4 linked regions of the Saccharomyces cerevisiae S288C genome follow. The gene in region 1 interacts genetically with each later gene. Each region holds a gene or a part of one and is shown in the gene's direction. Other genes may lie near its edges. The genes, in order: ENT5, YPT6, RIC1 and ENT3.

Region 1 (7,775 bases):
AGACCTGAATGGGCGCGGCGGAAAAGTCTTGGGCGGGTGGCAGACCCTTGAAGTCTCTCTGAATCCTCTTTAATTGCGATATGGAGCTGGAAAGGTTGGTGTCGATGTTGAGGCTGGTGTTAGCCACAGCGGCAGCGTCCGCGTCAGCGGCGTTGCCGCTGATGGTATTCATGGTAGTACTATCAATAATGTTCTCCTTCTCATCGATAAAGCTCTCCAGAAATTGAAGAACCTCGTCAGTAGAGACATGTTGGGGCAGCTGCGTGGCATGAATGACCACAGGCGTGTTTAGCGTGGTAGCAGTGTTATTACCTGTTCTTCTAGAACCTTTCATCATCTTGTATTATCGAAATCTTACCTCAGACGTCTCCAGTTCTGCTCTGCCTTACCGATGAGACCTCTATAATCAATGTGATTTAAACATATGCATCATCTTGAAGTAAGCTCGAAATGAAAAATTTTACACCCGCAATATGCTTACCCGTCGCTGTTAGATGTTACCCGCCTTTCGCCCCTTAGGGGTTTCCACCGCCCCCCTCGTCCTCTACGGTATTTTCTGGGGCGCCCAGCCCGCCACGTCCCGCCTCGTCTCGAATTTCTTCCTCTGCTAGACGGGCTTCCACGCGCTTCCACTCATTTCTGTCTCTGGTAATGGCCGTGGCCCTTCTCACTTTGGTTGGGCTTACGCTGACAAGTGTCTGTTCGATTCCCTGTATAAATATAAACGTATTCTCTTGAGCCTTCTATCCTTTTGCCACTGTCGTCATCATTTGTTCCTCCTTTTTCGCTAGATAGGTTATATTAAGATTTGTCTTGAATTTAATATCTCAACTCAATCCAAACTCAACCGCTAATACTACCATGTCCCAAGTCTATTTTGATGTCGAAGCTGATGGCCAACCAATTGGCCGTGTCGTTTTCAAGTTGTACAACGACATAGTCCCAAAGACTGCAGAAAACTTCAGAGCTCTATGTACCGGTGAAAAGGGATTCGGCTACGCTGGCTCTCCATTCCACAGAGTTATTCCAGACTTCATGTTGCAAGGTGGTGACTTCACTGCTGGTAACGGTACCGGCGGTAAGTCTATCTACGGTGGCAAATTCCCAGATGAAAACTTCAAGAAGCACCACGACAGACCAGGTTTGTTGTCCATGGCCAACGCCGGTCCAAACACCAACGGTTCTCAATTCTTCATCACCACCGTTCCATGCCCATGGTTGGACGGTAAGCATGTTGTCTTTGGTGAAGTTGTTGACGGTTACGACATCGTTAAGAAGGTTGAGTCCTTGGGTTCTCCTTCCGGTGCCACCAAGGCTAGAATTGTTGTTGCCAAGTCCGGTGAATTATAACCGCTCTGCCTGGAACAATACAGCAAAAATTGAAACGAACTATTCTCTCTTAAATTATATGTATATGTATAAGGTATGTGTATGTATGACAATCAATTCTTATAACTAACTCTTCCTACCTATATCGGAGTATGTTGCCAGGCTTGCCAACTAGCCAACTACCGCCTAGGTTATGCCTGTTAAGTTGACGCCGCCGGGTACCGCCCCCTGTTTTTCCCACGTTTCTTTCTTTCCTCTAGGTAACGGATTTTCGGCTTATTTTCCACAGCGAGAAAATTTTCTTTCTCCTGCACTTTTTTTCATATTCAGGTCCTTTGATCCATTCATTCATTCTTGTTTTAATTTCAATCTAGATTTTAGTTTTCGGTTGAATTTATCTTTAGTTTTTTATCAATAAGAATTGGTCTAGCTTATCTTTCCAGGCTGCTTATAGTTTACTTTTTTTAAAAAATTATATTTCTATCCAATATACAAATCGGAAGGGAAATTCATATACACAAATTAAACGTTCCAATTGCATAAATACCAACACCATACAAAATGGACTCATTATCAAAAAAGATTCAAAATTTAGGTATCCATGATATTAGAAATGCCGCAAGGTTTGCCCAAAACGTGATAGTCCAATATGAGCCTTATCAGATAGATATCCGTCGTGCTACAAATACCGATGCTTGGGGCCCCACACCGAAGCACCTCGCCAAGGTTTTAAGGAACAGATACCAAGTGCCGCTCTACTTGATGACAGAATACACGTTGAAAAGATTAGTCGACCATATCGCTACCAGGCCCAAGAACCTATACGAAAAGGCAAGAAAGGACTACGTTAATTATGGGTCCGAATGGAGGGTGGTCTTAAAATGTCTAGTAGTCATTGAATTCCTATTATTGAACGTCGACACAGGTGACGAACTGAATCAGATTAGATCATGTTTGCTCACTCATAAGCATATTTTAACCAGGGAGATTGCCCAATTCAAGGTAAAATTCTCCAATGATGGTAAAATGGAGATTCATGAGAGAGGTATTAGGAAAAAGGGAGAACTTATCTTGCAATACTTGGAAGACTCACAATTTTTGAAAAAGGAAAGAGCCAAGAATAAGAAGAATGCCTTGAAAATTCGACAGCAAGGAGAATCCTCCATTTATAATGCCAACCAGATTTCAACGTCTGCAAGTTACGATAACATCGACGACGATGAATTTGATGCAGATGCAGATGGCTTTGACAGTGAAATGGATGCTAATAATGTGACCAACTTCAATGTTCCTGTGGAAACAGAAGCAAATTCGAATACTCGCAGGCGTTCTCATATGGAAGAACAAAGAAGACAAAGAAGGGAGATATTAAGAGAGCAGATCAAAAATAAAGAACAGCAGAGGAAAAGAAAGCAACAACAAGATAGCATCCCTGACTTAATCGATCTTGACGATAGTACTAGCACCACGAATAATATAACAATAGACAATGGTAATAATGACAACAAAAACAATAATATCAACAGCAATAGTGATGATGATGATGATGAGTTTGGCGACTTCCAAAGCGAAACGAGTCCCGACACAACAGCACCTAAAACTTCCAATAGTAAAATAGATGATTTGCTTGACTGGGATGGCCCAAAGTCAGACACAGATACCACCGCTGCTGCGCAAACATCATTGCCCTTTGCGGAGAAAAAACAGCAAAAAGCCCGTCCTCAGGCTACAAAGGACAAGTCGAAGGGAAATGATGCATTTTCCGACTTATTCTCTTACTCCAAGTCGTTGGTCTAATCACCAAATACCCCTTCATCTCCCAATACATTCAATACAGTCAACAAATTTTCATTCTCAGATATATGTATCCATATATACACTAATAATATCTTACTAAAAACTTGTCTATTTCCTTCTTCAAATGTCAGTTTTCTTTTTATTGAATATCAAAAAAATATTATATAGATACATTTGTATATGTCATTATCCATGCAGAAGAAAATACTTAAATACTTAAGTACACAAGTATTTATTGATTTGCTATTTCGGTCTTGGCAAGTCCCTTGGCTACGTCATCTACACTCGCGTCATCCTCTTCCATATACTCGTCGCCTGTGCCCACCACGCCTTGTTCAAACATTTGCTTACCGGTTAGCTTCCCATGATGAGCCTTCATCCTTCTCACCTGGTCTCTTTCATCCAGTTTCAGTTCTTGGCGAAATTTAGACCTCCATTCCAAGTACGATTCTCTTGTGACTTTAGTACCATGGAACTTGGCCTGTTCCTTCTTTTCACGTTCTTGTGCTTCCAGCTCGTACTGCTTCTCGAGCTTATTCAATTGTTCACTATACCATTGCTCACATCTTTCTTTTATGGATGAAATCAATGCAAAACACATTTGCATACCCAATAACATATCGGTTTCGATTTGCGATTCTAATTGTACGGTTAATTCAGGCAAGTACCCCTTAAAGCTTATTAAATCTGGCAGGTTTTCAAACTTTTTCAGTACTTTATTACCATGGTCGTCATATTCAACCTCGTCTTCATCTTCCTCGTTATCTTCTTCGTTGTCATTGAGGGCTACTTCTTGAGCTTCCAATGAAATCAGGCATGGTTCGTCAGGGTAGTTTTCTGGTAACTTGAATTCGGCGATTATAGTGTGCTCTTTGGTTAAAACAGAAGTAGAATCACCTGTATCCAGCTCTAATTTAATGGCTACTTCAAATTTAATCTTTGGGTATTCATCGTTTATGATCCTCAGTTCATCAGGATAAATGGACTCTAAAACTTCTAGTTCCTGCTTCTGTTCTTCCTTATAATCCATAGTATTAACAAGTGCCTTCTGGATATGGAGGGAGGGCTTTTCCTTAAATTATACCAACCGACAGCATGGGAAACTCAGCTCTTTAAAGCCAATCTAACGATGCCTGCTGATTTTACAATTGGAAAATAGAAAATTTTCATTTTCCACCTTCTGTTACCCGAGTTTATAGACCTAGGATTTCCAATCATTACTTATTAGGACATTCGGGAAAAATATACATATATGGCCCACTTCTCTCACATCTCTTTTAGGGTCTGTGCCAATGGCACCCAAATTTTTCTTCTTTCTTTTTCGCTCGTATTCTCTCACGCTCTTGATCAGTGTGAGCAGTTACTAATATACTGGATCAGAGAACATTAACTCAAAGGTTGATAGTGTAGATCATTGGACATAGTGTGACGGTTTTGCACTCTTGTTGCGCTTGCTCTCTTAACAAGTCACATCTTATTTAGCCTCTTCACCCATAAGTTGATTGTAAAGCCGTAGAACCCTATATCACAGTCTCTTCGGCAACTCAACCAATAAGAACTATTAAGGATTAACACTAGCCATGATGCCGAATGTTGCTCCAAACAGCTACTATTTAAACATACCGAATGCCAATTCGACCTCAACGACTACGTCCTCGATCTTTTCTGATCTCAACAAGGAGTACGAGTCAAAGATTAAAGAAATCGAAGAATATTATATAAAGACACTGCTCAATGAAAATACCGATAATGATGACAGCAGCAGCTCCGAGGGGCATAATATAAATGAAACGGACATTTTAAGTGAATACTCACCAAGGCCTTCTCCTTGGTTACCATCCAAACCAAACTGTTATCATCCGTTGGGAGATTTTAAAGACTTGATCATATCAGATTCCAGACCTACAAATACATTACCTATTAATAACCCTTTCGCAGGCAATAATAACATCTCAACACTTGCTACAACTGAGAAAAAACGTAAGAAAAGGTCACTCGAAGTTGAGATTAACCCTACTTACACGACAAGTGCATTTTCATTACCCCTGACAGCGGAGAATTTACAAAAACTATCTCAGGTGGATTCTCAGTCTACTGGACTTCCATACACACTTCCAATTCAGAAAACAACAAAACTGGAACCTTGTAGAAGGGCACCTTTGCAGCTTCCTCAATTAGTCAATAAGACCTTATACAAAACTGAGCTCTGTGAATCTTTTACTATTAAAGGCTATTGTAAGTATGGAAATAAATGCCAATTTGCTCATGGTCTTAATGAACTGAAATTCAAGAAAAAATCAAACAATTATAGAACTAAACCTTGCATAAATTGGTCGAAGTTAGGCTACTGTCCGTACGGTAAGCGTTGCTGTTTCAAACACGGTGATGATAAGGACGTTGAAATATATCAAAATGCTAACGATGGAAGAAGTAAGGATACGGCGTTGACTCCACTTCCTACTTCCCTAGCCCCAAGCAACAACGATAATATCACTAATTTGAGTAAGCCTAGGAACTTACATACTAGTGTTAAAGCATTGCAAAGGATGACTTGGTAGTCGGTCAACAACAAAGCCCTTTGAATATTTGGCGTATTTCTGCTGCCTCTCCTTATTTATTTATTCATTATCGTTTTCATATTTATTTCAGTCACAAAACAAAATTAAAGAATTCGTGACCTACTAACATGAGAATTAGTTAATTTAATCTTTTTAGTTTATTTATTTCATTAGGTAGAATTTTTTTTTCTTTCTCTGATCTTTCAGTGTTACTCATCGGTGGCAAACGTGTTTACAGGACTAAAAATCGAAATAATGATTATTATTGTTCTTAATTTACTTAGAGTTATTTAGTTTTTTTAACTATCGTAAATTGCCAAATGATCGGCTTTGTGGTACTCTATGTCTTAGAGACCTTGTAGATACGGACCTTCTCGATGCGCTAAGTCTTTTACTGGAGCTCTTTGTATTTTCGCCGGGCAATGGGAAAATCTTTCCTGAATACATATTATCTGTTGGATCATCAGCGATGTCCTCTAAACTTATCCCTTGCATGTTCCTTTGAAGTAAATAACGTAATGAATTATACCAAATATTGTGTCTTTGCCTTGTAGGACAAGTAAACTTAATAGTCCTAGTTTCTGTGGTAACAACAATACTTTTGTGATACAATCCTGTTGGATATGGGTTTGGGTCTGTGACACTTTCTACTCCTAGAATGGCAACACCTTTTGTTTTGGTATTGGCAGGATTCTCTAGGATGGGATTAGAAGCGGACCAGTACAAAGTTAAGGTATATGGATGAACCCAGAAGAATCTTTCATGACGTGATTCGAATCCAAAAGGTCCCAAGCGTGGATAATACTTAAACAAATATTCCCCAATGACGGTTTGGGTTAACGCGGGTATTATGCTTGGTTCGTTCAATGATGCTAAAGTTTGTAAAGATGCCGTCCTACTGGCAGATCCTGCACGTGACATAAATGATGCTACTATATCTCGTCTAGATGCTGGCGTATTCCTCGATGAATGTGTGGTTTTTGAGGTTGAATTAGAATTCAGACTCTGTTGACGTTTATGGTGCTTATGATGATTAGTACGATGAGACTGCTCTTCTATTTGTGGATGACTTTCGGAATCTTCATAAGCAGTTGTTGCTGCTGCTTCTGCAAGTCCCTTTTTTGCTCCAGACTTTGTGGACACAGTAGATGTTTTATTGTTTAGCTTATGCGACACATACTCATGTTTGGATGCCGTGGCTTGACCTTTCTTATCTTCCTTTGTTGTTAGTGCAATCTGGAGCCCACGCTTTTTAACTTCCGCTTGTAATTCTTCATTACTAACACAGTTCCATTTCATGTCTTCAGGTGACATTAGATTATGGTAATAGGACGCGGAAAGCACAACTATATCGCTCATATCTTGAGCACTTGCATATGATGCACCCACAAAATTACTTTCAGGAATACACAACATACCATATTTCATAGCTTGAGTTTTAATAATGTCTACATCATTTTTGATTTCTTGGCTTTCATCTACAAAGCTATCAGATATATCGTCACCATAAACCGCCTCATTTTGACTCATTATATTATCATCTCTTGATAACAGTGTTTTCTCCCTACTAGTCAAAATCAAATTACGATCGCCAGCGGGTTTCTTGAGTTGCCTTACTGTGAATGTTGGATCATCCGGCCCATATTCGACTTCTTCGTTGTCCATATCATTGTGGGGAACGGTGTTTTGGAAGGCACCTTCTTGCGCTGTGTTTGTGGTTTTTGCTGCTAAGTTTTGATTTTCTGACAAGGGATTATTCATTTCTTCCATGCCACCATTCAGATTAACCGCGTTATCTTTTAGTATATGATATTCTTCAAATTCCTGATCAGAAATGAGGGTCATACCATATTTTTCTGCTTTTCTAGATAAGTGATCAAGATCTATGCTACTGGCAACGCTAGTGTCATCGTTGTCCTTCGAAAATAATGGAGCTTCAATGTTTTTCAGATTGATATTTGATTTTTCGAACGGAACTAATTTGTAGCCTAATTTTTCAGCAGAATTCTTGATGTTTTCATAGGCGGGAATGAAAATGGTAGCATCTTTCACTGTGGATGATTTCGAGATTATGTCAGTATAATCTTCATT
Region 2 (6,750 bases), on another chromosome or scaffold:
AATCTTAATTTTAAAATGAAATGCCAGATATCATCACTTGGAAGATTTGAATCGGTGATTTTAACGGCAACATTTATGATGTGAAATAACAACTCAAAATTTTGAATTACTTCTCTCTTTATTACTAGCAAATGGAGAAATTCCTGCAGTTGTTTAGAAGTTTCCAAAGTCATTAACCCATAGTGGATTCCTTTCGTTTCATTCCTAGTCTGTGCTAAGTCATTTTTCAGGCAAACACCAAAAATCTTTTTCTTCAAACCTTCCATTCTTATCACCGTATTTGCTGTCCCTTTGTGGTCCTCACTGATTAAAAAATCTTTGTTCTATTTTTCTTATTACCTTTAATGCTTCACGAATGATGTGAATGTTTTGCGAATGATGTGATTGAATCCATCTGATCCTGCTGCGAAATCGTAGTTTATTTAGCCGCTGAACCCTTTGAGCAAGTATTTATCGTTTTTAACGTTGAAAAAGTAGTCATATTCAAATTATATAAACCAGCCAATAATACGTTACTTTGCCTTTTTAGATCACACAATTAAGCGGATACAAGATCACCCATCATAAAGGGTTGGCAAACGCCATTGTTTTTGTCGAACCTTACCTGATATCTCCAGAAATCCAATGTATATCTTCTGTATGAAAATATGAATTGTGAGTGCACATGCCTTTTCTAACAGGGAAACCTGTTGTGATTTGTCATTGAATGTGATGAAAAGCTCCTCCAGTCGCCTCGGCTTGGCTTGGCTTGTCTTGGCTTTTTTGGTTTATTCTTTCTGTCCTGAGATAAAAATTGTAGTAAATCTATACTTCTGGAAGTTTCCCGCGACGAAAATGAACGAGGAAAATAAAAAATTTCATGTTTAAAATCCTGTAATTGATTGCTCTTCCACGCACAGTAAGTTGCAAAACCAGAAGAATAACTGAAAAACCCTAAGCAATCATGTCTAGTCGCCAAGGTGGTAAGATGAAGCCTCTAAAGCAAAAGAAGAAGCAACAACAGGACTTAGATCCTGAAGACATTGCCTTCAAAGAGAAGCAAAAGGCCGATGCTGCTGCTAAGAAAGCTTTGATGGCTAATATGAAAAGTGGTAAACCTTTAGTGGGTGGTGGTATCAAAAAATCTGGTAAGAAATAAAAGGCCTTTAACAACGTCTAATAAAAATTTACTCAGTATTTTCTAGTTCTCGTTTTTTAAGTAAATACATATATTACCAAAGAAAAGCTATTTGCAAGATATATCGTTCTTTCCGATGTTTTACAATCGTAATTACTATGTATAATGGTTACATCTAGCAAATTTGGAGGTTTCCTAAATAAAGCCCCTTGCGTGTCTCTCTAGAGGTACGAAAACAACTGATATATAATGGACCCTTTTCTATTGTGGTGACAGGCATAAGGATAAATATTTATAGATGGCTAAGGAAAATAAGAAAAATACTTCTCCCTATTCATGAACCGGGCATCTTGAGTAGAATAGGGTGCTTCTATTCGTTAGTGCTGGTATTAACTTCTAGTGAAAAATGGCCGAATAATTTCCGGGTAATAAAGCCTTCAGCACAGCTCAATTAGTGGAGGAAAATATTGCCCATATATAGATTGTTACTATGTATGATGTAAGAATATCACAATTGGGCACTTAAGGTTGTGTGAAAAGAAGTGTTTGAAGCTGTTGATTCTGAACAGTAAAAGATAAACAAAGAAGAGATTAACAATGAGCAGATCCGGGAAATCATTGACAAAGTACAAAATTGTTTTTTTGGGAGAACAGGGTGTTGGAAAAACATCGCTGATCACTAGATTTATGTATGATACGTTCGATGATCATTACCAAGCCACGATTGGTATAGATTTTCTTTCCAAGACCATGTATTTGGATGATAAGACAATTAGATTACAGTTATGGGATACAGCAGGTCAGGAAAGATTTAGATCATTAATACCTTCATATATCAGAGATTCGAGAGTTGCTATTATCGTTTACGACATTACGAAGAGAAAATCATTTGAATATATTGATAAATGGATAGAAGACGTTAAAAATGAAAGAGGTGACGAAAATGTTATATTGTGCATTGTTGGTAACAAAAGTGATTTATCAGATGAAAGGCAAATCTCAACCGAAGAGGGAGAGAAAAAAGCAAAACTATTGGGTGCTAAAATCTTTATGGAAACGTCCACAAAGGCAGGCTATAATGTCAAAGCTTTATTCAAAAAGATTGCCAAATCGCTGCCTGAATTTCAAAACAGCGAGTCAACTCCTTTGGATAGCGAAAATGCAAATAGTGCAAACCAAAATAAACCGGGAGTCATTGATATTTCTACAGCAGAGGAGCAGGAACAAAGCGCTTGTCAGTGTTAGCACCTAATATTTCAGTTCTATAGGGCATAAGGAGAACTCTTTGTGTGCGTCATATTTTTTAGTGAACTACCAGCACATAATAATTGTACTGATAATATTAATAATAATCATAATCATAATGTACTTGACGATCTGATGTGTAGGAGCTAGTACTCACTAAACATGGTTGTATTAAAGAATGGTATTAAAACTTTTTATAAAGAAGTATGGAGTGTATAAAGTTATCAAACAACAACAAAAACAACAACAACGTAAAAAAAATATAGAAGAAATAGAAATGACATATTCTAGTTTTTGATTAATTGTTCAGTACGAAGGAAAAGATTAAGTAAAGTGTCACATAGAATCGAAATCTGTGTCCACATAACGGCCATTTCTCAGTAACGTCTTGCATAAGCGTGGCATAATTTCGACTTGAAGGGGCTCTAGAGGAAATTTCTCGCCATCGACAGAGAACAAGCCGTTCCCTAGCTTTGGTATTATCTTGTATGCCAAAATTTTAGAGTGTAAGACTTCCGGTTGTAAAACATGGGAACCCTTATCTAGTCCCAGCAGGATTGGTGCCATCCTCGTCAACGAGGTTCTTGCATCGGTGATAACCATATCCATTGTACCATCTGAAGGAAGCGCTGCCGGAAAGAATTTAGTGTCAGCAGCCACATATGGCATTTTACCCGTATAGAAGATACCTAGGTTGTTCGAAATATTAGGATCCAATCTTTCCCAGTCACTAGGGATACCTTCATCTAATGGATATTTTATTTTGAAATCTTCCTCTTTAATTTGATCAGCACTAGAATCTGCCAGATCACGAGATATCAAGTGGGAGTCTTCGTCATCCGCATCCGCATCTTCATCTTCATCTTCGTTTTCGGTTTCGTATTCATTTTCGTAATTGTAATTATCACAATCCTCGTTATCTTTGTTCATAGTAATATGCTGGAATTCTAACGACCCTTTATTTTTGTGTTCCAGGTAATGATTTTTTAACTCGTTTTTTGATTTGGCAGCATACTTTACATATATCTCACAAGGATATTTTTTTTTTTGTATGATATTGAAGGCTACACCCAATTCAAACCTTGCAGGTCCCATCCATCTAATAAATTCAGTGTTTATGTCAGTTTCTGCAATGAGACCATATGTTTGACTTAAAAATGATAACTTTGGGTGCTCTCTTGCATAAGAAGGCTGCGAACAACACATCAAATCAATTCTAGTCTCTATCGATTTAATTAAGCATAAAGTTGAGTACGAAGGATTGTTTGTCCAGTGGCAGGATACGCTCATTGCGTTACCTGATCCGCATGGAATTTCTGTAATGGCGATATTGTTGAATGCTTTGACATGATCAGGCCTTTGGTATAACCCATTGATCACCTCATGAGGAATGCCATCTCCCGAAGCGCAAGCAATAGTGTCATATTTGTCAATATCCATTTCCCGCGCGATCTCTATAGCATGACCAGGGTATTTTGTATAAACCACTTCTATGGAACACCGACTTGCTAATAGTAACGGCTTTGCCTTTGTCATAAACAGTTTTTTCGCCTTACCTTTACCACCAAACGGATTAATGATCACAAATATGGATTTGTTCCTTCTAGTGTTTTTGTAGCTTCTCTTTAAAATCTCCTCAACCAAGTCATCTTCTTCTTTTAAGTGAGAAGATGAATGGGGTTTATAGTCAATATACAATGAAACCCTTTTGGGTACAACGTCATGCCGTCTTGGCCTAGCAAATATAACCTCTACTAGTTTCGTAAAAGGAGATCTGGAAGTCAGGAGGCTACTACTACTGTTACTTCCTCGCGATAGCGAGTTGCCCTTCCTTTCTTTTTTTTGGGAAGACTCTAATTCATCAAGATCACACTTTTCACTAATGTTACTCATTGAGCTGCTTAAAGGTGAACTGGGTGATGAATTGGCATCATAATAATGCAGAGGTTCCTTTTCAATGTATCTGGCATCCAGAATTCGTCCATAGGGGATAACGGTGTTTGCTGGCAATTGACCATTCACCGAAGGATAATGAAGTTTTGGATTAGCAGAAAGATCATCTTTACTTGTATCCGTTGTCGATGTTTCCGATCTGTCTATTGTATCAGTATCGCTTAAACAGGTAACACAGCTAATTAGTGAAGCCGTTTCAAATATACTGTTGTTATCACTGTTGCTTTGAAAGCTAGTTCTACTGATGTTGCTTTGAAAGCTAGTTCTACTGATGTTGTCAATGCTGCTGCGACTTCGTTTATCTGCCATTCTATTTGCGTATGTGTAAGGACTTGATGGTTTTGCCTTGATCATTATTCCTTCCTCAGTCAGTATCGCTGACGTTATTTGCTTCTTCCTGGAATGGCGAGACCTGCCCTTACGTCTCTTTGAAGGTTTCAAAGTCATCTCTTTTGGCTTACTGTTTAAATCTTACACTATTTGTGGTTTTTTCGAGATAATATCAAGAGTCCTTTTACTCTTCTTTTCTTTCCTATTTTGCAACACGTATATACAACAGTTTATGCTGTAGTTATACTTTTTTGATTGTTTTTGTATAAATAGATTCGGCTCACGCAGCTTACGTTCCCTTTCTTCTTCGCCTGCGAAGGCTTTAACAAGGCCCGAAAACACCTTGATTTGCAAATCTAACTATGAATCTTGCAGAAAAGCGGTGGCAACTGAAAGGGAAAAAAACATAGATTAAAAGAAAGCAACATAGTAACATAAAGGAAGAGAAAATTTTGATGATAAAGAAGATGAATAATATACCTAATGCATCCAAATGTTCCTCCTGTTATACTATTGGGAATTATTGCGAGTGCATCCATTCGCGCAATGATCAAGTAGAACGCCAAGACTAGTTGTGCAAAGAAGTACAGTTGAAATTCCAGCCAGTTATGTCTCATCCCTATTCCACTGTTTTTGTAGGTATACAATGGTGTTACGAGCAATTGAAGCTGTTTATTGCCTGGTATTACCTCTGGAAACTTACTTTATAGCCGCCCATCTGTATATGTCATCATATACGGACCTCGTGGAATTTTCCAGAAAACCAAATGGGGAGGGTGACTTTAATTTTGCTTCGTTTTGCCCGGAGCAGAATCCAGACGGACATTCATGTATATATATTGAAGGAGACTAAGTTTTACATTCATTATGTAAGGTCGTGGTTGCGTCTTCATGCACTTCCTTGAATAATATAAGAAAATTCCCACGAGAAAACATCATAAGCAAAAAAGTTTTCAAAATGTTGAGATCATCCGTTGTTCGTAGTCGCGCTACTTTAAGGCCTTTATTGCGTCGTGCTTACTCCTCTCATAAAGAATTGAAATTCGGTGTAGAAGGAAGAGCCTCCCTTCTTAAGGGTGTCGAAACTTTAGCTGAAGCGGTTGCTGCTACTTTGGGTCCAAAGGGTAGAAACGTTTTAATCGAACAGCCTTTCGGTCCTCCAAAGATTACTAAGGATGGTGTTACAGTTGCCAAATCTATTGTGTTGAAGGACAAGTTTGAAAATATGGGTGCCAAGTTACTACAAGAAGTTGCCTCCAAAACCAATGAGGCTGCTGGTGACGGTACTACTTCTGCTACTGTCTTAGGTAGAGCCATCTTCACAGAATCCGTCAAAAATGTCGCCGCTGGTTGTAACCCTATGGATTTGAGAAGGGGTTCTCAAGTTGCAGTTGAAAAAGTGATTGAATTTTTGAGCGCCAACAAGAAAGAAATTACCACATCTGAGGAAATTGCTCAAGTAGCAACCATTTCTGCCAATGGGGACTCTCATGTTGGTAAGTTACTAGCTTCAGCTATGGAAAAGGTTGGAAAAGAAGGTGTCATCACTATCAGAGAAGGTAGAACATTGGAAGATGAACTTGAGGTTACTGAAGGTATGAGGTTTGATCGTGGTTTTATTTCTCCATACTTCATCACTGATCCAAAGTCGAGCAAGGTGGAATTTGAAAAGCCATTGCTATTGTTGAGTGAAAAGAAAATTTCTTCCATTCAAGATATCTTGCCAGCTTTGGAAATTTCCAATCAAAGCAGAAGACCTTTGTTGATCATTGCTGAAGATGTTGACGGTGAAGCTCTTGCGGCTTGTATTTTGAACAAGTTGAGGGGTCAAGTTAAGGTTTGTGCTGTGAAGGCGCCTGGTTTCGGTGATAATAGAAAGAATACAATTGGTGATATTGCAGTCTTGACGGGCGGTACTGTTTTTACTGAGGAGTTGGATTTGAAACCAGAACAATGTACCATAGAAAACTTGGGTTCTTGTGACTCTATTACCGTTACTAAGGAAGACACCGTTATCCTGAACGGTAGTGGTCCAAAGGAAGCTATTCAAGAGAGAATTGAACAAATCAAAGGCTCCATCGACATTACCACCACAAATTCATATG
Region 3 (9,695 bases), on another chromosome or scaffold:
TTAGTGTAATAGAAGACTAGACACCTCGATACAAATAATGGTTACTCAATTCAAAACTGCCAGCGAATTCGACTCTGCAATTGCTCAAGACAAGCTAGTTGTCGTAGATTTCTACGCCACTTGGTGCGGTCCATGTAAAATGATTGCTCCAATGATTGAAAAATTCTCTGAACAATACCCACAAGCTGATTTCTATAAATTGGATGTCGATGAATTGGGTGATGTTGCACAAAAGAATGAAGTTTCCGCTATGCCAACTTTGCTTCTATTCAAGAACGGTAAGGAAGTTGCAAAGGTTGTTGGTGCCAACCCAGCGGCTATTAAGCAAGCCATTGCTGCTAATGCTTAAACTCACCCAATGACCGATATATTGTGTTTCTATACTGTGTTTGTTATATATAGTTTACCTTTTTTAGACAAAAAAACAGAATTATATATTATCCTTATGTTTTGTTATTTACTCGGAAGCACACAATTGCCCACCACACAAAGGAGGTGGAGGAAACAATTAATTTTTCACACAAGAGGTATATATTTGGAGAAAAATGAAGAATGAGATACTTTTCTTCCGATTACTTAAGTATTACGGCTCTGAAATTTTCTCGAGCATTAGATGATTAAATCAAAATGACATAGTATTTCGCAACCTTTCAGTTGGGCTTTGTTTAAGAAGTGGAATACTTTTGCTTGAGTTGTTTAGTTTTATTTTATCCACTGTTGTCTTAACAAATATTTTCAAGACCGGTAAGCCGAAGATGAAAAATCATTATTAACTCATTTTTTGAACAAAAATATAAACAAAAGAAAGGCAACGCACAATTTTAGAGATACATAAAACGCAGTGGATGTTAAAAATAACAGCGGTACAGAAACGCCTGTCTCGCTCCAATAATAATTATACAAATTTGAAACCGAACGCAATGTGCCAAGAAATGTAAACACACTATAGAAAAAAATAGAACGGTGCACATTGTGCTAGCATATCTGCTTGGTTCTGAACAAGAAGCACCTGGCCACTTTCTCCTAGCCCAATTCTTGCCAAGTTTTCAACCTCAATCTTTTGTGTTTGAACAAGCATGTATGAGGGGTCAAAATTTAGTGGAGGCCGCTTACAATCCTTCTATTTCCTCTGGACCTCATTAGCCGTCTGGCCAGACCTAAGCGTCATAATCTGGAGAATTTCATTGCATGCGAGAATATGATAAGTAAGAACTTGTTTATTTATACAAGTTCCACCCACTCATACACGGCTACAATTATGACGTATAATAACGTTTCGTCTAGCCCACCTTTTTTACTTTTGACGTTTTATTTCTTTCGAGGATTTGGCCAAGAATGCCCCGAACAGCGGAAAAAATGGCGTCGCAGTTTCAGATGTATAGACTCATCTTGTAGAAAAAAGAATGCAAGAATGAAGTCTTTTCGTGGTGTTTTGAAAACACTATAAACAAACCGTCAACAAACATTTTGTATAAATATTTAGCTATATATTGAATATCTTGACCAGTAAAGCACCTTGAGAAATTGTAAGCTTGAAGAACGTACTTTGATATCCCTCCGTTTCATCATCCTATAGCTCGTCAACAAATCAAAAAAAATATGAAGATCAGTCAATTTGGCTCTTTAGCTTTCGCCCCAATTGTGCTACTACAACTGTTCATTGTTCAAGCGCAACTTCTCACAGATTCAAATGCTCAGGATTTGAATACTGCCCTTGGACAGAAAGTGCAATACACCTTTCTTGACACTGGAAATTCTAACGATCAACTACTTCATCTTCCAAGCACCACCTCTTCCAGCATTATTACTGGTTCATTAGCTGCTGCTAATTTCACCGGTTCTTCATCATCGTCGTCTATACCAAAAGTCACTTCCAGCGTCATAACATCTATAAATTACCAATCCTCAAATTCTACGGTAGTCACCCAGTTCACGCCATTGCCTTCTTCGTCGAGAAATGAAACAAAAAGCTCTCAAACAACTAATACTATAAGTTCAAGTACAAGCACAGGAGGTGTAGGTTCAGTCAAGCCATGTCTTTACTTCGTTTTAATGTTAGAAACAATCGCTTATTTGTTTTCTTAAACAAATATATTAGGTTCAAGGTCTTCGCAGGTGTAAGAAAACCCGTGGTCTCCATATTCTTAAGTATGATAAATAAAAAAAAACTTAATAAATTATTAATTGCTTCAAACCTTTTTCTTTTTTTAGTTTTTAATATTTCAAACGTTATCTTCATTGAACGCCCAAATAGGGAAAAATCCTGGCAAATTTTTTATTGCTGTCATCCAAGGCTATGCTAGAAAATTCAAGAGCTTGGATGATTTAAAAAGACACTCTCAATCGAGAAAGTTTATTCTTTGTTATTCTGCTTTACCTGATCATATTCCGGCGTATTGTTTCTAATCAAGTGATTTCGATATCCAGTTACGAACCATTTACAACATTCCTGAAAATATTGCGTATCAATGATATTTGCTCCTTCTTTCTCCCTCATTAAAAATATTCTCCTGGTAAGCTTTCTAATCAGCCACAGTTTTGCTGCCAAAACTTTAACGTCTAGTTCCAATGACGATACACTTGCCAGGTCCGCAGCTGCAGATGCAGACATGGCATTCTTCATGGAGTTTTTAAACGATTTCGACACCGCTTTTCCACAGTATACCTCATACATGATGCAAAACCATTTAACCCTACCTCAACCTGTTGCTGACTACTACTATCACATGGTTGATTTGGCCTCAACAGCAGATTTACAATCTGATATTGCTCAGAGTTTTCCGTTCACTCAATTCCAAACATTCATTACGGCCTTTCCATGGTATACCTCTTTGCTAAACAAAGCCTCCGCCACCACCATATACCTTCCCCAACACTTCATAACAGGTGAGACAGAAGCTACCATGACTAACTCATCTTATGCCAGCCAAAAAAACTCCGTTTCCAATTCTGTTCCTTTCTCGACAGCGAACGCAGGCCAGTCCATGATTTCCATGGCTAATGAAGAAAACAGTACAACAGCACTTATATCCGCATCAAACTCTTCTTCAACATCCAGAACTAGTCAATCACAGAATGGTGCCCATGCCAAAAGCTTATATTTCCCCATGGCGTTGTTCGGAATCTTTGCAGTTGCCCTTTAAGTGCCTCAACCAAATTTGACAATTTAATTCCATGGGAGGTCCGCCATCCCTTTTCGCTTTTTTTATAATATGTGTATTATTTATACAAATATGTATATAAGTATGTACTTTTTCAATGGACAATTCGATTTTAAGAGCGTTTTTAGTGACAACGATGAACATCAACTTTGTACAGTATCAAACGATTTATTTTTAACATATTATTATAACTTCTGAATGGCGTTGCCATCTTGGCCAAAATCTTGTCTTTTCTGTCGTTTTATGGCAGGCTTTTGTTCTTTGATGTTAATTCGGCAATACCGACGCCTTTGATGTTCATCAAACAGTCTGAAAAAAATACACCTAAATGCCTCTACAAAAAAAAAGGTAAGGTAAGAGTGTTATTGACCGGAAGCTGTAAGAAACTGAACACGTGGAAAATGCACTTATGGCCAGTCAGTCCGCCCCAATTGCTTAGAATTCCACCCCGCAACGCCGAATTAGGTGAGGGTACTAAAATAGATGATTGCAATATTCTTCAATCAATGACACTACCCCAGGCCAATGTTCTTATCATGCTAACCCCAACAAGAGTGCTCATTTACAACTTCAAACCAATGGCACTAGTAGCTAGCCATGAACGAACAATGGCTTCTCTTAAGGAATTTGGCGATAACAGATCAATGAAACGATCAGCTCCATATAATGATATCATCGAAGGGCTTATTTCAAAAAAGGACTCGCAATACTTATTGTGGCACCAGGGAAAGCTGATATTTTACGTAATGACTGATAAAAACTTCCTTTTAACATACCAAATTTTAAAAAACTGCACAAATGAAATAATTTTCAAAGAATACGGCATACCCGTCATAGAGCCTCTTTTAATGAGTGAAGAAGAAGCGAACAGTGCTGAATATGACTATAACAACGATGATGATACTCTCACGGTATTTGATAAAAATAGTTCTTCAAGAATTATACAGAATGGATTTGGCATAACTAAGGAAAAAGGGTTTTTACACTTTCTTTCTAATCAAGAAAACATTGATGAACTCCCCGTGAAAAAACTAGAACTTCGTTTAAAAGTAGTTCTTAAATTTGACTATGAAATCATAGACATGATTGGCATCAAGACATTTTCCAAAGTCGGGGATGGGCGTTATGAAGAAGTTTTGATAGTTTTATTCCCTCATGGATTACAAATACTTACAATATCGGATTTTAAAGTTAGCAAGAGCTCGTTGGTTGAAGTGAAGAAGGGATCCAAGACAATTGTGTGTAATAAACAATTAATGGTTTTATCTCATGATTCCGTCGAAAAGCAGACTATTGTAAGCATTATAGACATTGAAAAGCAAGCTGTTGAAGCAATACCGTTAACGGACACACCAGATGAACTTTTGACTTGCCTAGAAGTTAATGGATACCTGGTGGTCGTTTACAAAGAAAAAATAATCTGCTTTGATACAAGAATTAAAAAAGTAAGCCATTCTTGGAAACCACCATTTGTGATAAAACTTTGCGATAAAATTAATGATAAAATATTACTTTTGGTTTCTGAGGATAGTGTTAACATTCATTTTTACACAGAATTTGGGAATCTGCTATTCGCTACATATTTTGACGAAGATGATTATAATGGTGATAACAATAATGACAACAGCAAGGATAAAAATGAGAAAAAGGCGGCTGAATATAAAATTTCTGATTTTGTATGCTTGGATAAATCACTAATAACAGTGTCTCATTCCGGAAAATATCAAGTTTGGAAATTATGGGAAGAAATAAAACAAACACAATTTGATTTCAGAAACCCAAAATGTTACGTATTAACCAATACGAACAATGATGTAATCATATATTCACCTGTGACAAGTTCTTCAATCAATAATGATAATTTACAAGTCATAAAACTTCCTACAAAGACTTTCAATAATCATATTGCTTTTGTAAAAATTAATTCTTCCTTGAGGTTATTTGCTACTTATGTGTCGAACAAAAACATACTGCTTATCCACAATCTAGAGACCAATATGTGGTCTAGTTTTGCTGACCAAAACGTGTTGGATTTACATTGGCTAGGTGATAATTATTTGGTTTGTCATATGAAGAATGATGATGGCTCAACAAATCTGAAATGTCTGCAGATTCCACTGCAAGAAGCGAATCCGGACGTGGAACTATCAGATTATGTCATGTGGGAATACAATGTTCCAGAGAATACGATTGTTTTCAGTTTACATGTTAATACTTTATCCCGGTATAAGTTGTTGAAAATGAAATCCAAGAATCACAATGCTTCTGAAAAACAACCTGATGCATTGCTTAAAACTGCCGAGATTATTTTAGTTACTGATACACAGACAATTGTCTTCGATGTAATTTCTACTGTACATCCATGTGGATTAAACATCATCAAAAAATTCTACCAGTATCTCAAAATTAACATTCCAATTGATGTTTTACCCAACAAAATTGAGTGGATAATTAACATGAAGGAGGGCTTGTTATTTTTTGCCGATAGGAAATTTATAAAGCTTGGCAAAGTGGATGGAGGGGGCTGGCAAACCTTAACTTTGTTGGATAACATAGAAAAAATAATCGATGTTATCAGGGACGAAATATTTGTAGTTCAAGGCCATAATTACGTCGTATACTCTTTGGAAGATTTATGGGATGATAAAAAGCCACTAGTTTCCATTCCAATCGAAGAAGATTTGTATCCAATATCAACCACCCCAGAAACAGCTACAACACATACACTTCACTGCATTTTTAACGCGCGATTTTCCAAATTGGTGGTGAAACACCAAATATACCTCGACCAATTAATCTTAGCCAAATTAGAAGACAACACAGATTTGGAGGATATTTCACACAATTATCGTTTTTTAAAGCCTTACAAATTTGCACTCGAAAAGATTTTGTCTACTAAAATACTGCGAAGCGACTCTTTGGATGATATCCTGAAATTAATTAAGATGTATGACAACACCGATCCTGAGCATAATATTTCACCACCAACCCACAGTGGTATGTTAGAAATTATTAGTAATTGTTTAAGGAAGATCGAAACTAAATACTGGAACCATCTATTCACTAATCTAAAGATGACACCAAGAGATTTATTAGCACTCTGTATCGAAGAAAATGAGGCTAAAATGCTTGGCGTACTTCTGTTAGTGTTTTTAAATTACGATGAGAAAGATTTGGGAGATGATCTACATTTTAAGAAATCAGATTTAGGGACTGAGGAAAGCAAAGCTCTAAATGATAACTCTACAAAAAAGTCAGAGAAATCTGTCACTAATTTATTGAAGGATGAAGAATTAATGCTTAAAGTCTTAGAGCTTTTGGTGACAAGTGCTGCAAACGCCACAGACCCAATTAAAGCTACCGATTCGTGGGACATGTGTTTCCAATTAATACGCTTACTCAAGGAATTAGACAGAGAAAACAACACACAATTGGTTCAAAAAGCACTCGAGAGATTCAAATAAATCTATATGACACCATGTATTCTTTACCATATAGCTTCATAACATTGACCAATCAATTTTCAGAAATGCGTCGCGCGTAGTTTTGCCCGATATCCCCATCCCTTCAGGATCTTTAAAAGGTGATGAAAGATGCACCAGATAGAAAAGTTGCATTAAAATGATTAGCAGAGATATACAAATATTTTAGTAAGAATACATAAAGTATCTTTGCTTTCACAAATAGGAACAAGCACATAAATACAGTATAATAGACATGGCTGATCAAGAAAACTCTCCACTACATACAGTTGGTTTCGATGCTAGATTTCCCCAACAAAACCAAACAAAGCATTGTTGGCAATCTTATGTGGATTATCACAAGTGTGTTAATATGAAGGGCGAAGATTTTGCTCCGTGCAAGGTCTTTTGGAAGACCTATAACGCCTTATGTCCCCTAGACTGGATCGAAAAATGGGATGATCAAAGAGAAAAAGGTATTTTCGCAGGTGATATCAACTCAGACTAAGGATCTTAGTTTCGTTTTTAGTAATGTGCACTTAGCCTTTTTTATATCATTATTATTAATTACTAGAATTCATTTTTGCGTAGTAGACCTACACGGGATGAAGGATATCTATATGAAAAGTAAAGTAACAATAGGAGATAATGAAAAAGTGATATCATACGCTAACGAATGTTCATGATGGAGCCAAATTCCTAAAAATCAAACAAACAGAAAAAAATGAGAATGATGTGGGGTACTGAAGTTTTATTTTTCATATTTATTTTTAATTATAGTAAGTAGCCATTTCTATATATATTCAAAAATTATTTGACCCTCGTAACATCTGCCACTGCACTGAAAAGAACAAGGCAATGGATAACGCTGATAAAGACGTCAGCATGAACTTTCAATTCACTGAGATAGCAACATTTTCGAGGATTATATAAGGGGTACTAATCTCTTCTAGTCATCGTTTGAAATACATTCAGGCTGAGAAAGATAAACGCTGAACATGTTGAGAATAAGGCACTTCCTGGGACCTACTAAAAGATAATAATATAGTATTTGAAGAGACCTTCATCAACAGCCTGAGATCGGCACACATCCTTCACAAGCGCCCCAGTTCCAGACTGAAGTACACATTTCTATCTCTTACAGTCACTACTTGCGATTGCTACTACTAAACGAAATGATGGCTGATTTCTGAATGTCAATTCTTTACTTATTGTTCTATCAGGCTAGAAGGATAGTAACATAAACTTCTAAAGTACCTTTAAAGAGCCTCAATGCACTGCCTTAACAAGCAAATGACAATTTTCCTATCAATTGTTTCACGAAATACGTTTGTCGTAATTTTACGCATTACAGGTCAGAAGGAGACTAGATAAGGCCGATTCTCCGAGTACTGTTGAACCACAGGCTTCAGCAAGTGAAAACCAACAGACAAAACAAGGAAAACAGCAAGATTAACCGTTTATATTTGCTTCTACTACCTCAACGGAGAATGGAGCAGGCCTTTGAAAACGCTCCTACTTTTGAAATTGCCTTTGTAAATATTGTATCTCCAGCCGCGCTTAGCTAAGTGGATATCACTAGATTAAAAAACACTCTCGAGCTACCCTATGAAGACAAGATTCATCCATAAACTCCCTAAGTGGGTATCCATTAGATGCCAACTACTTCACTCATGCAATACATACAGCAATTGCAAGACTTGTGATTTTAATCCAAAAGAAACTTCCCTGGGTGTCATGAACCCAATCAATGGCCGTAACTCTTCGTATGGTCAGTTTATAACTCTCAATCACGTTTCCTCGCTCATACCCTAACAGGTACGACTCCTCTGATCATATAGAGGGATTTTAATGTTTCTGATTTGGGAAACATTCAATTTTTCTCCTGACAACCGTTTAGTGTCAAACATTGGATATTGCCCTCGTTCAGAGGGCACAGAATAAAATTTGATTTCTGGTTCATTTTCTTGGCCAAAGATTAATTGAAGTTGTCAAGGCATGCCAAAACTTCCTTTAAAGGTATCATCCCTGTACCGAACATTCCTGTGCTCCTGTATATATCATAATAAGATATAGGTAGTACAAAGGCGCGGATCCGTATACGAGATCTATAAAAAAAGCATTGTTGAAGAAAGGGCAACTGCATATTTGTAGTGGTGAAGAGTATGGGATAGGGGAGCCCAAGTAAGAGAAATATCAGCAGTGAAATAGCTATTCAACAATTTATCTGTTCGTCCGTCGCTTATTAAAAAACGGCATATAAATAGAGCAGCTTTGATTAACTCTTTCCGACAATTTGGCATTGTTATTTACATTCGAGTGAGCTCACATCTTCACTAAAAAGATCTACAAAAGTTCAATCGAAAAAAATGGTCAAACTAACTTCAATTGTTGCTGGTGTCGCTGCTATTGCTGCTGGTGTCGCTGCTGCCCCAGCCACCACTACTTTATCTCCCTCTGACGAAAGAGTTAACCTGGTCGAATTAGGTGTCTACGTCTCAGATATCAGAGCTCATTTGGCTGAATACTATATGTTCCAAGCTGCTCATCCAACTGAAACTTACCCAGTTGAAATTGCTGAAGCTGTTTTCAACTACGGTGATTTCACCACTATGTTGACTGGTATTCCCGCTGATCAAGTCACTAGAGTCATCACTGGTGTCCCATGGTACTCCACCAGATTGAGACCAGCTATCTCCAGCGCTCTATCCAAGGACGGTATCTACACTGCTGTTCCAAACTAAGCCGATGGCCTCACAATTGGTATTTAGCACTGGATTGCTTTACGAACGGATAAAAATAATTATGATTTGACGGTAAGAAATAATTAGATATACATACGTATACAAACATATATATGTATTACAGGTACTTTTAATCAGTTGCACTGTGTTCAAAAAGATATTTTTTAAATGCGGGGGGAGATTCAAGTTTTGTTCTCGCATTTAAATTTCTGCATACAATTTGTACTTACAAGAACCTTATACGATTCCAGTTGAGACACGTACTGATATATTAATGATCATATTAAGAATCTTAATGCTTAAAACTTCTCTTCAATTCAGCATTTGAT
Region 4 (7,418 bases), on another chromosome or scaffold:
AATAAAGCTTTGGAGGAAGTTTGCTATGACATGGGTTCATTGAGGGAAGCTACCGAGTATGCACTGAATATGGTGGATGCGTGGACTTCATTTTTTACGTACATTAAACAGGGCAAGCGCAGAATTTTCAATACTCCTGTATTTGCGACCACATGTATGTTCACTGCAGTATTAGTGATTTCGGAATACATGAAATGTGTAGAGGATTGGGCACGCGGGTACAATGCCAACAACCCTAACTCAGCATTATTGGATTTTTCGGACCGTGTCTTATGGCTAAAAGCAGAAAGGATTTTGAGAAGATTACAAATGAACTTGATACCGAAGGAGTGTGATGTGTTGAAATCGTACACTGATTTCTTAAGATGGCAGGACAAGGATGCCCTAGATTTGTCAGCACTAAATGAAGAACAAGCACAAAGGGCCATGGACCCGAATACCGATATAAATGAGACAATTCAACTAATTGTAGCGGCAAGTCTATCCTCCAAATGTTTATATTTGGGTGTTCAAATATTGGGTGATGCGCCAATTTGGCCTATAATATTATCGTTCGCTCATGGTTTGCAATCAAGAGCTATCTATAGTGTTACGAAAAAAAGAAACACTAGAATATAAGTCCGATTTACAAATATATAATGGCGGCCGTCTCTATACTATAGTATTTACAGAATTAAAGCTTAGAACTATCATAACTTTCATAATATACCACCAGGCTTCAAAAAGGCATTGTTCCATTCGGAGTTTGCTTGAGTTTGATGGCCCGGGTAAAAAGGTTTGACAAGGCAAGGGGCCGTACTTATTAAAACAATTTCAACATGCACAATTAAGAATGTAAGAGATATATGAGAATGATACAGAGAGAGAGAAAGAGAGAGAAAGAGGAAGGTCAATTAAAGGAGAGAACTGTTGTTAATATGGCAGACCCTGATGACAATGAGGCCGAAGCCACTGGATTACAACAATATAGTGGCGAGACCACTCGCGATGACAATGAAGAAAGCATGAATGATTCTTTCACTTTAACATCCAGGAATAGAGGCAGAAGTAATACAATATCTAGTATTGTTAGTGGTTATGAAATAATGAAAGAACATATGGACAAGGAAAAGTTTATGTACTTGATTCTAGCGAGTCTCCTTTTGTACATGGGATTTGTTGCCGCATTTGCTCCCAGGACGTCTTTATCAAGAGACTTTCGGCGGTTTCACTCTTCCAGATTGACGAATGCAGAGGTTTATAGGATATACTTGAACTCCTTGCAACAGGAAAATAGAGCGAAAGAACATGTATACAAGTATGCTGGGTACATGAGCAACGGAGCAAGTGATTCGTCAACGTTTAAATATACCTTGGACGAGTTTCTAGATATGGGGTACAAACCCAAAGTTGAAAAATATTACCCATGGATAGGTGAACCAGTAGACACTAACGTAGCTCCTTTAGAAAATGGTAAAGTGGTCTACGAAGCAAGCATGATCGAGGATAGAGTTAAAGGTGATCCTGCTTCTCACGCTAGGAAAAGGCAAAAGGGTTTCCATCAATATTCAAAAAATGGAAGTGTAACTGCTCGATACGTGTTTTGCAATTATGGTAGCATCAGTGATTACAAGCTACTTTTGAAGAAAAACATTGATATTGAAGATAAAATCCACATCGTACGATCGGGTAAAATATTACCTGGATTAAAGGTAAAGAATGCAGAACTTTATGGCGCTTCCAGTGTCATTATATATACAGACCCATTTGACGATGGTAAAGTTACTGAGGAAAATGGGTTTTTACACTATCCTTATGGACCAGCAAGAAACCCAAGTTATATTAGGAGAGATTCTGTAAACTATTTCAGTGACACTCCAGGAGATCCGACAACTCCAGGGTATCCCTCCAAGGATTCCGACACTGAACATATGTCACCGGTAGGGAGAGTGCCGAGGATACCATCGGTGCCGATGAGTGCTAGAGATGTCCAACCAATTTTAGAAAGATTGAATGGCAGGGGTTTTCAAATTGGGCCCGGTAGTAATATAAAAGATTTTGGATCATTCACTGGACCTTCAAGCTCTATCGATAAAGTCCATTTGCATAATGAGCTAACTTACAACATCAAGGAAATGAGTAGTGTAGAGGTTAGTATCCCTGGTATATTCACTGAGGGGGAGATTATTATCGGAGCTCATAGGGATTCGCTCGCCTCGAGTAGCGCCGGTGATGCAAATAGTGGCAGCGCTATTCTTTTAGAAATTGCACGAGGAATGAGTAAATTACTTAAGCATGGTTGGAAGCCACTGCGTCCTATCAAACTAATAAGTTGGGATGGTGAACGATCCGGCCTTCTGGGATCTACAGATTATGCAGAAGCTCATGCTGCGATTCTCAGGAGAAGGGCCTTGGTATACCTAAATCTAGATAATGCAATCTCTGGGACAAATTTTCACTGTAAAGCCAACCCACTTTTACAAGACGTGATATACGAAGCTGCTAAGCTCACGGAATTTAATGGGCACGAAGACTGGTCATTGTTCGACCATTGGAAATACACTTCTAATGCCACTATTTCTCTACTTGATGGGTTGTCTAGTTACACTTCATTTCAGTACCATCTTGGAGTGCCCGCTGCACATTTTCAGTTTAATGCCAATGATACTTCAGGCGCAGTCTATCATAGTAACTCCGTATTCGATAGCCCAACTTGGTTGGAAAAATTTACCAATTCTGACTACAAGTTACACAACACCATGGCCATGTTTGTAGGTTTGACAACGCTGATGCTGAGTGAAAACGAACTGGCAAGATTCAATACACATGTTTACCTGAAGAAAATATATAACTGGTATATCGCATGGCACTCTAATCTATCTTCAGCATTTCCCCAGGACGATGAAGTGAACAGCTTAGCAAAAAGGGTTCTGGACTTATTAAAAGTTGCCACACAGGAAGATAGCATCCAATTTGACCAACAAAATGGTATTCTCTATAAAGAGTGTAGGGAAGCTTTACCTGTTTGGGCTTTTTACAAAAAAATCAAGAGCTATATTAAACTGCAACGATCCAATAGCAAATCAAAGCAAATTGATCAATTATTTATTACACACAGAGGACTGAAAGACAGGGAATGGATGAAGTACTCTCTTTTAGCACCTAGTAAGTTTGAGGGATCTGTCGGGGAAGTTTTGCCCGGCCTTCACGAAGGATTGGCTGATATTGATAGAAACGAGGTCATTCAGTGGTTAACCATTTTGCTAAGCCAATTCAGCAACGTTCGCTATTTACTTCAATAAGCATTTAAGTACCTCACCTCAGTATATACATTTATTTTATTTGCATACGTAGAGTGACTTTGAATAATAACCATGAGAGGCTTTTTTGTATATACTCTATAAACATGGCTTCAATTTCTTATACATGTCACACCGTACGTTGTGCGAGGTGATTAGGAAAAGTAAAAGGGGACTAGAAGAATCATGAAATGATTTGTAGATACAGTTATTTGAGGAAAGCAAAAATTACCAATTCAGGAAGGTGTAGGGACGTCGATAGGAGATCACATCGTTAATTAGTGTTAGGAAGAATGAGTTTAGAGGATACATTAGCCAACATGTCATTATATGACGCCAAGAAATATTTTCGTAAAGCTCAAAATGTTGTTTTCAATTATACTGAGATGGAGGGGAAAGTTCGTGAAGCGACAAACAACGAGCCTTGGGGTGCCTCATCCACTTTAATGGACCAGATTTCTCAAGGAACTTACAATTTCAGGGAAAGAGAAGAAATTTTGTCCATGATATTCAGAAGGTTCACTGAAAAGGCAGGTAGTGAGTGGAGGCAAATTTATAAAGCCTTGCAATTGCTCGATTACCTTATCAAACACGGTTCTGAAAGGTTTATCGATGATACAAGGAATAGCATTAACTTAATTAGGATTTTAGAAACTTTTCACTATATTGATTCCCAGGGAAGAGATCAAGGAATTAATGTCAGAACTAGGGTCAAAGCTTTGATTGAATTATTGAGCGACGATAATAAGATACGCGCAGAAAGAAAAAAGGCAAGAGAAACGGCAAAGAAGTACAAGGGCGTTGCTGGAGGATCTGCCTCTGCTGATGGCAGTTTGAATTCGAAGGCAGGTTTCACGTCAACGAAAGTGCACGGCATTAGCGTGAGTGCTGATTTCGATAGTGACAATGAAGATAACGAAGATGGTTCTTTTAGTCAAAATGGATATAACGATAATGCCTCGAGAGCCACATCTACTCCTGGGCAAGGAAAACAAGAACCAGAGGACTTTGTTGACTTTTTTTCTAGTGAGTCTTCAAAACCATCTAAAGAACTCATACAAGAAGATGAAAAGAAGGCGGACGAAGAAGAGGACGATGATGACGAGTTTTCAGAATTTCAAAGCGCCGTCCCTGTTACCAACCCTGCTAATTCGTTTAACTTGCTAAACACGAGCCCAATTGAGGGTATGCCCGCCACCACGAGTTCAATGCCTTTTTATAACAGCTCCACTACCGACCAAGGCAAGATTACCCCAGCTATTGCGGAACCTAAAAAAGTAGATCCTTTTAGCTCTCTCTTTTCAACTGCAAAGGCATCTGCAGAAGCACCTAGTGCTCCTAAAGCATCCCAAGCGAAAGCCGCTGCCTCTAATCCTGTATCTAATAGCACAACTGCACTAAGTACAGATCAAGATGATGATGACGAATTTGGTGAAATGCATGGTGGAGCTGTTCAACAAGAACAGAATACCAATAATAACCATACATCATCCAAAGAAATCGATTTACTTTCCTTTTGAGTGATATTATTGGTTTACACAATATGTAAATGTTTTATAACAATAGAAAGTACTTTGTAACAGGTATTACGAACATTACTATCTAATCTCCACTGTATTTCTCCTTTATATGTTTGTCTTGATTTCGTGAAATAGTTTGTGAACATTTTTTTGATCTTTTTTTCGTAAAGAAGGGCCCTTTTCAAATTTATTTACATTTTGGTCATTTGAAAATACTTTACTTAAAAAGACGAGGAAGAAACTGTAAATCCATAGTTCGAGAGTTGAAGTGCCCTTCAAAACAAAAACTCCTGACTTTTTTTGCTCATTTTTAGTCAATGAACTAAAACTCACCTTCCTTCTCGTTTATTTTTGCCTAGCATTATAGAGCAATTATAACTATATATTAAAGTTGACGCACCGAAAAAAAAGGCACGAAAGAAAACTCTACTAATTTTTCACATCTCGAAAAAGCTCATTGCAGAAGGATTTACCAATATTTCTAAAGTTAACGTAACCATGGCACCGGAAATTTTTGTTAAATTCAAGTGTGCAAGTAGAGACATAAAGCTACTATGGGCGTCCGTCTTTCTTAGACTTCTATCATATGGTTTAACAAATCAAGTTTTGACGCTTTTTTTAAATGCCATCAATATGACAGAGGATAAAATTGGGCTGTTTATGTCATTAACACTGGCAGGGGATGTAATTTGCTCTTACATTCTTACTTGGTATGCGGATTCCTGGGGCCGAAGAAGAGTCCTAGTTTATGGTTGTGCAATGATGTTGTTAAGTGGGTTGGTTTTCAGTTTTAGCGAAAATTTCACCCTCTTGCTAGTATTTGCTATCTTCGGTGTTATATCGCCTTCAAGTGATGAAGTCGGGCCTTTCAAATCTATAGAAGAGGCCATGATTGCACATCTGAGTCCTCATAATGCAAGACCAGAGATTTATGCTATTCACGCCTTGGTTGGAACAATTGGAAGCGCTCTAGGTGCAATAATTTGTGGTATATTTGTAGATCTTTTGAAAAGAACTGGTTTAGCTGCTACTGATTTGCAATGTTATAAATTAGTTTTCTTACTGTATGCCTTCTTCGCCTTTTGCAAAATGGTCATCATGCTCTTATTATCAGATGCTACAGAATTGGACGGGCATTATGAACATACAGATTGCAATGAAGAAACAGCTGAACCATTGGACGTTAACGATGAAACTGCACCATTAATGAGACAAGCAACTCACCCAGAAGAAAGATCCAACAAACTATCTAAGGAGACCGTTTCGGTTTTGATGAAATTGTTAGTAATCTTCATGGTCGACTCTCTCGGGTCCGGGTTTATGACAAGTGGCTGGATGGTTTACTACTATAGTAAGCAATTTTTGATGGGATCTCTGGCGTTGGGTACTTTATTTTTCATCACGCAACTGGTTATGGCATCTTCCACCATCCCATCATCAATAATTGCCAGATGTTTTGGCCCAGTAAGAGCCACACTATTGGTCCAAATTCCATCAGGGATATTTTCTATTCTCATCCCTATGGCCAAGAATTACTTGCCCTTATCTATTTTGTTTTTGAATCTGCATTTTGCAACAACTGCCATGGACGTTACACCAAGGCAAATTCTATTAACAAATATCATCAAACCAAGAGATTTAACCAAAGTTATGGGGGTGGTCAACATTGGAAAGACATTTGCTCGGTGTGTTGGTCCAATATTCACGGGTATACTTGCTAACAATAATTATTTATGGCTATGTTACATCATTAGTGGGTCCTTGGTGATAACGGCGGATCTAATACTGGCATGCATGTTTTTAGGAGTGGACGCTAAAATTAAAAAGCAAATGAACCGCCATTAATGCAGCAGCAAATGTAGAGTGACTTAGAAACATGTGTAGATCATTTCAAGGAAACGTTACGTTTAGAGACAATGTAAATAGTACCCAGTTAAAGTATCTGACACACGAGGAAGTACAACCAATAGCATTTATATTTACTTGATAGATTTGCGTAAGATATATTATTTAAAAATTGATAGTCCTATTTTTTTTTACATCAAAAGATAAGATTGTATTATGTTATAAATTTAAACAATAGAGTGTACAAAGAAGATAAAAGTAATAATAAGAAAAACATATGTAATATTGAAAATCTTTCACTTTTTTTAGCTTCTTAACGGTTAGACTTGGCAACACGTTCCAATTCATCCTTCTTCTTGATAGCGTAAGAAGTAGAGGAACCCTTAGCAGCATTGATCAATTCTTCGGCCAAAGTTTCAGCAATGGTCTTGATGTTTCTGAAAGCAGCTTCTCTGGCACCAATGGTCAACAAAGCAATAGCTTGGTTAACTCTTCTCAATGGAGAAACATCGACAGCTTGACGTCTAGCAGCACCACCACCACCGACTCTGGTGGTGTCTTCTCTTGGACCAGTGTTGGTGATAGCGTCAACAACAACTTGGATTGGGTTTTGGTCAGTCAAGACATTGATGATGTCCAAAGTGTGCTTGATGATTCTAACAGCCTTTAATTTCTTACCGTTGTTTCTACCGTTCATCATCAAGGAGTTGGTCAATCTTTCAATGATTGGACATTGAGCCTTTCTGAATCTCTTGTTGGCGTAACGACCAGCGGT

Evidence for each region.
Region 2: mutations in ENT5 (region 1) and YPT6 together harm fitness more than expected from each alone (negative genetic interaction), as found in Saccharomyces cerevisiae (4 studies listed by BioGRID, with this or other methods).
Region 3: mutations in ENT5 (region 1) and RIC1 together harm fitness more than expected from each alone (negative genetic interaction), as found in Saccharomyces cerevisiae (5 studies listed by BioGRID, with this or other methods).
Region 4: mutations in ENT5 (region 1) and ENT3 together harm fitness more than expected from each alone (negative genetic interaction), as found in Saccharomyces cerevisiae (8 studies listed by BioGRID, with this or other methods).

Annotation. Positions count from the first base shown.
Region 1 is NC_001136.10:762,087-769,861, reverse strand, and holds ENT5 (Ent5p), read left to right. Parts: upstream 1-1,890; coding exon 1,891-3,126; downstream 3,127-7,775. Other genes in the region: DNA-directed RNA polymerase I subunit RPA14, read right to left, coding at 1-337; peptidylprolyl isomerase CPR1, read left to right, coding at 862-1,350; GIR2 (Gir2p), read right to left, coding at 3,359-4,156; putative mRNA-binding protein CTH1, read left to right, coding at 4,707-5,684; NUM1 (Num1p), read right to left, coding at 5,988-7,775.
Region 2 is NC_001144.5:663,856-670,605, reverse strand, and holds YPT6 (Rab family GTPase YPT6), read left to right. Parts: upstream 1-1,714; coding exon 1,715-2,362; downstream 2,363-6,750. Other genes in the region: RED1 (Red1p), read right to left, coding at 1-266; TMA7 (Tma7p), read left to right, coding at 944-1,138; VPS63 (Vps63p), read left to right, coding at 2,043-2,369; sphinganine kinase LCB5, read right to left, coding at 2,699-4,762; chaperone ATPase HSP60, read left to right, coding at 5,604-6,750. UniProt on the Saccharomyces cerevisiae protein: Protein transport. Might participate in post-Golgi transport.
Region 3 is NC_001144.5:222,356-232,050, reverse strand, and holds RIC1 (Ric1p), read left to right. Parts: upstream 1-3,454; coding exon 3,455-6,625; downstream 6,626-9,695. Other genes in the region: thioredoxin TRX1, read left to right, coding at 38-349; NFG1 (Nfg1p), read left to right, coding at 1,600-2,085; AFB1 (Afb1p), read left to right, coding at 2,469-3,143; COX12 (cytochrome c oxidase subunit VIb), read left to right, coding at 6,879-7,130; seripauperin PAU23, read left to right, coding at 8,992-9,366.
Region 4 is NC_001142.9:652,117-659,534, reverse strand, and holds ENT3 (Ent3p), read left to right. Parts: upstream 1-3,571; coding exon 3,572-4,798; downstream 4,799-7,418. Other genes in the region: RSF2 (Rsf2p), read left to right, coding at 1-618; VPS70 (putative zinc metalloprotease), read left to right, coding at 846-3,281; YJR124C (uncharacterized protein), read left to right, coding at 5,297-6,643; 40S ribosomal protein uS7 RPS5, read right to left, coding at 6,957-7,418. UniProt on the Saccharomyces cerevisiae protein: Involved in the recruitment of clathrin to the Golgi network and endosomes to form clathrin coated vesicles. Plays a role in the trafficking of clathrin between the Golgi network and endosomes.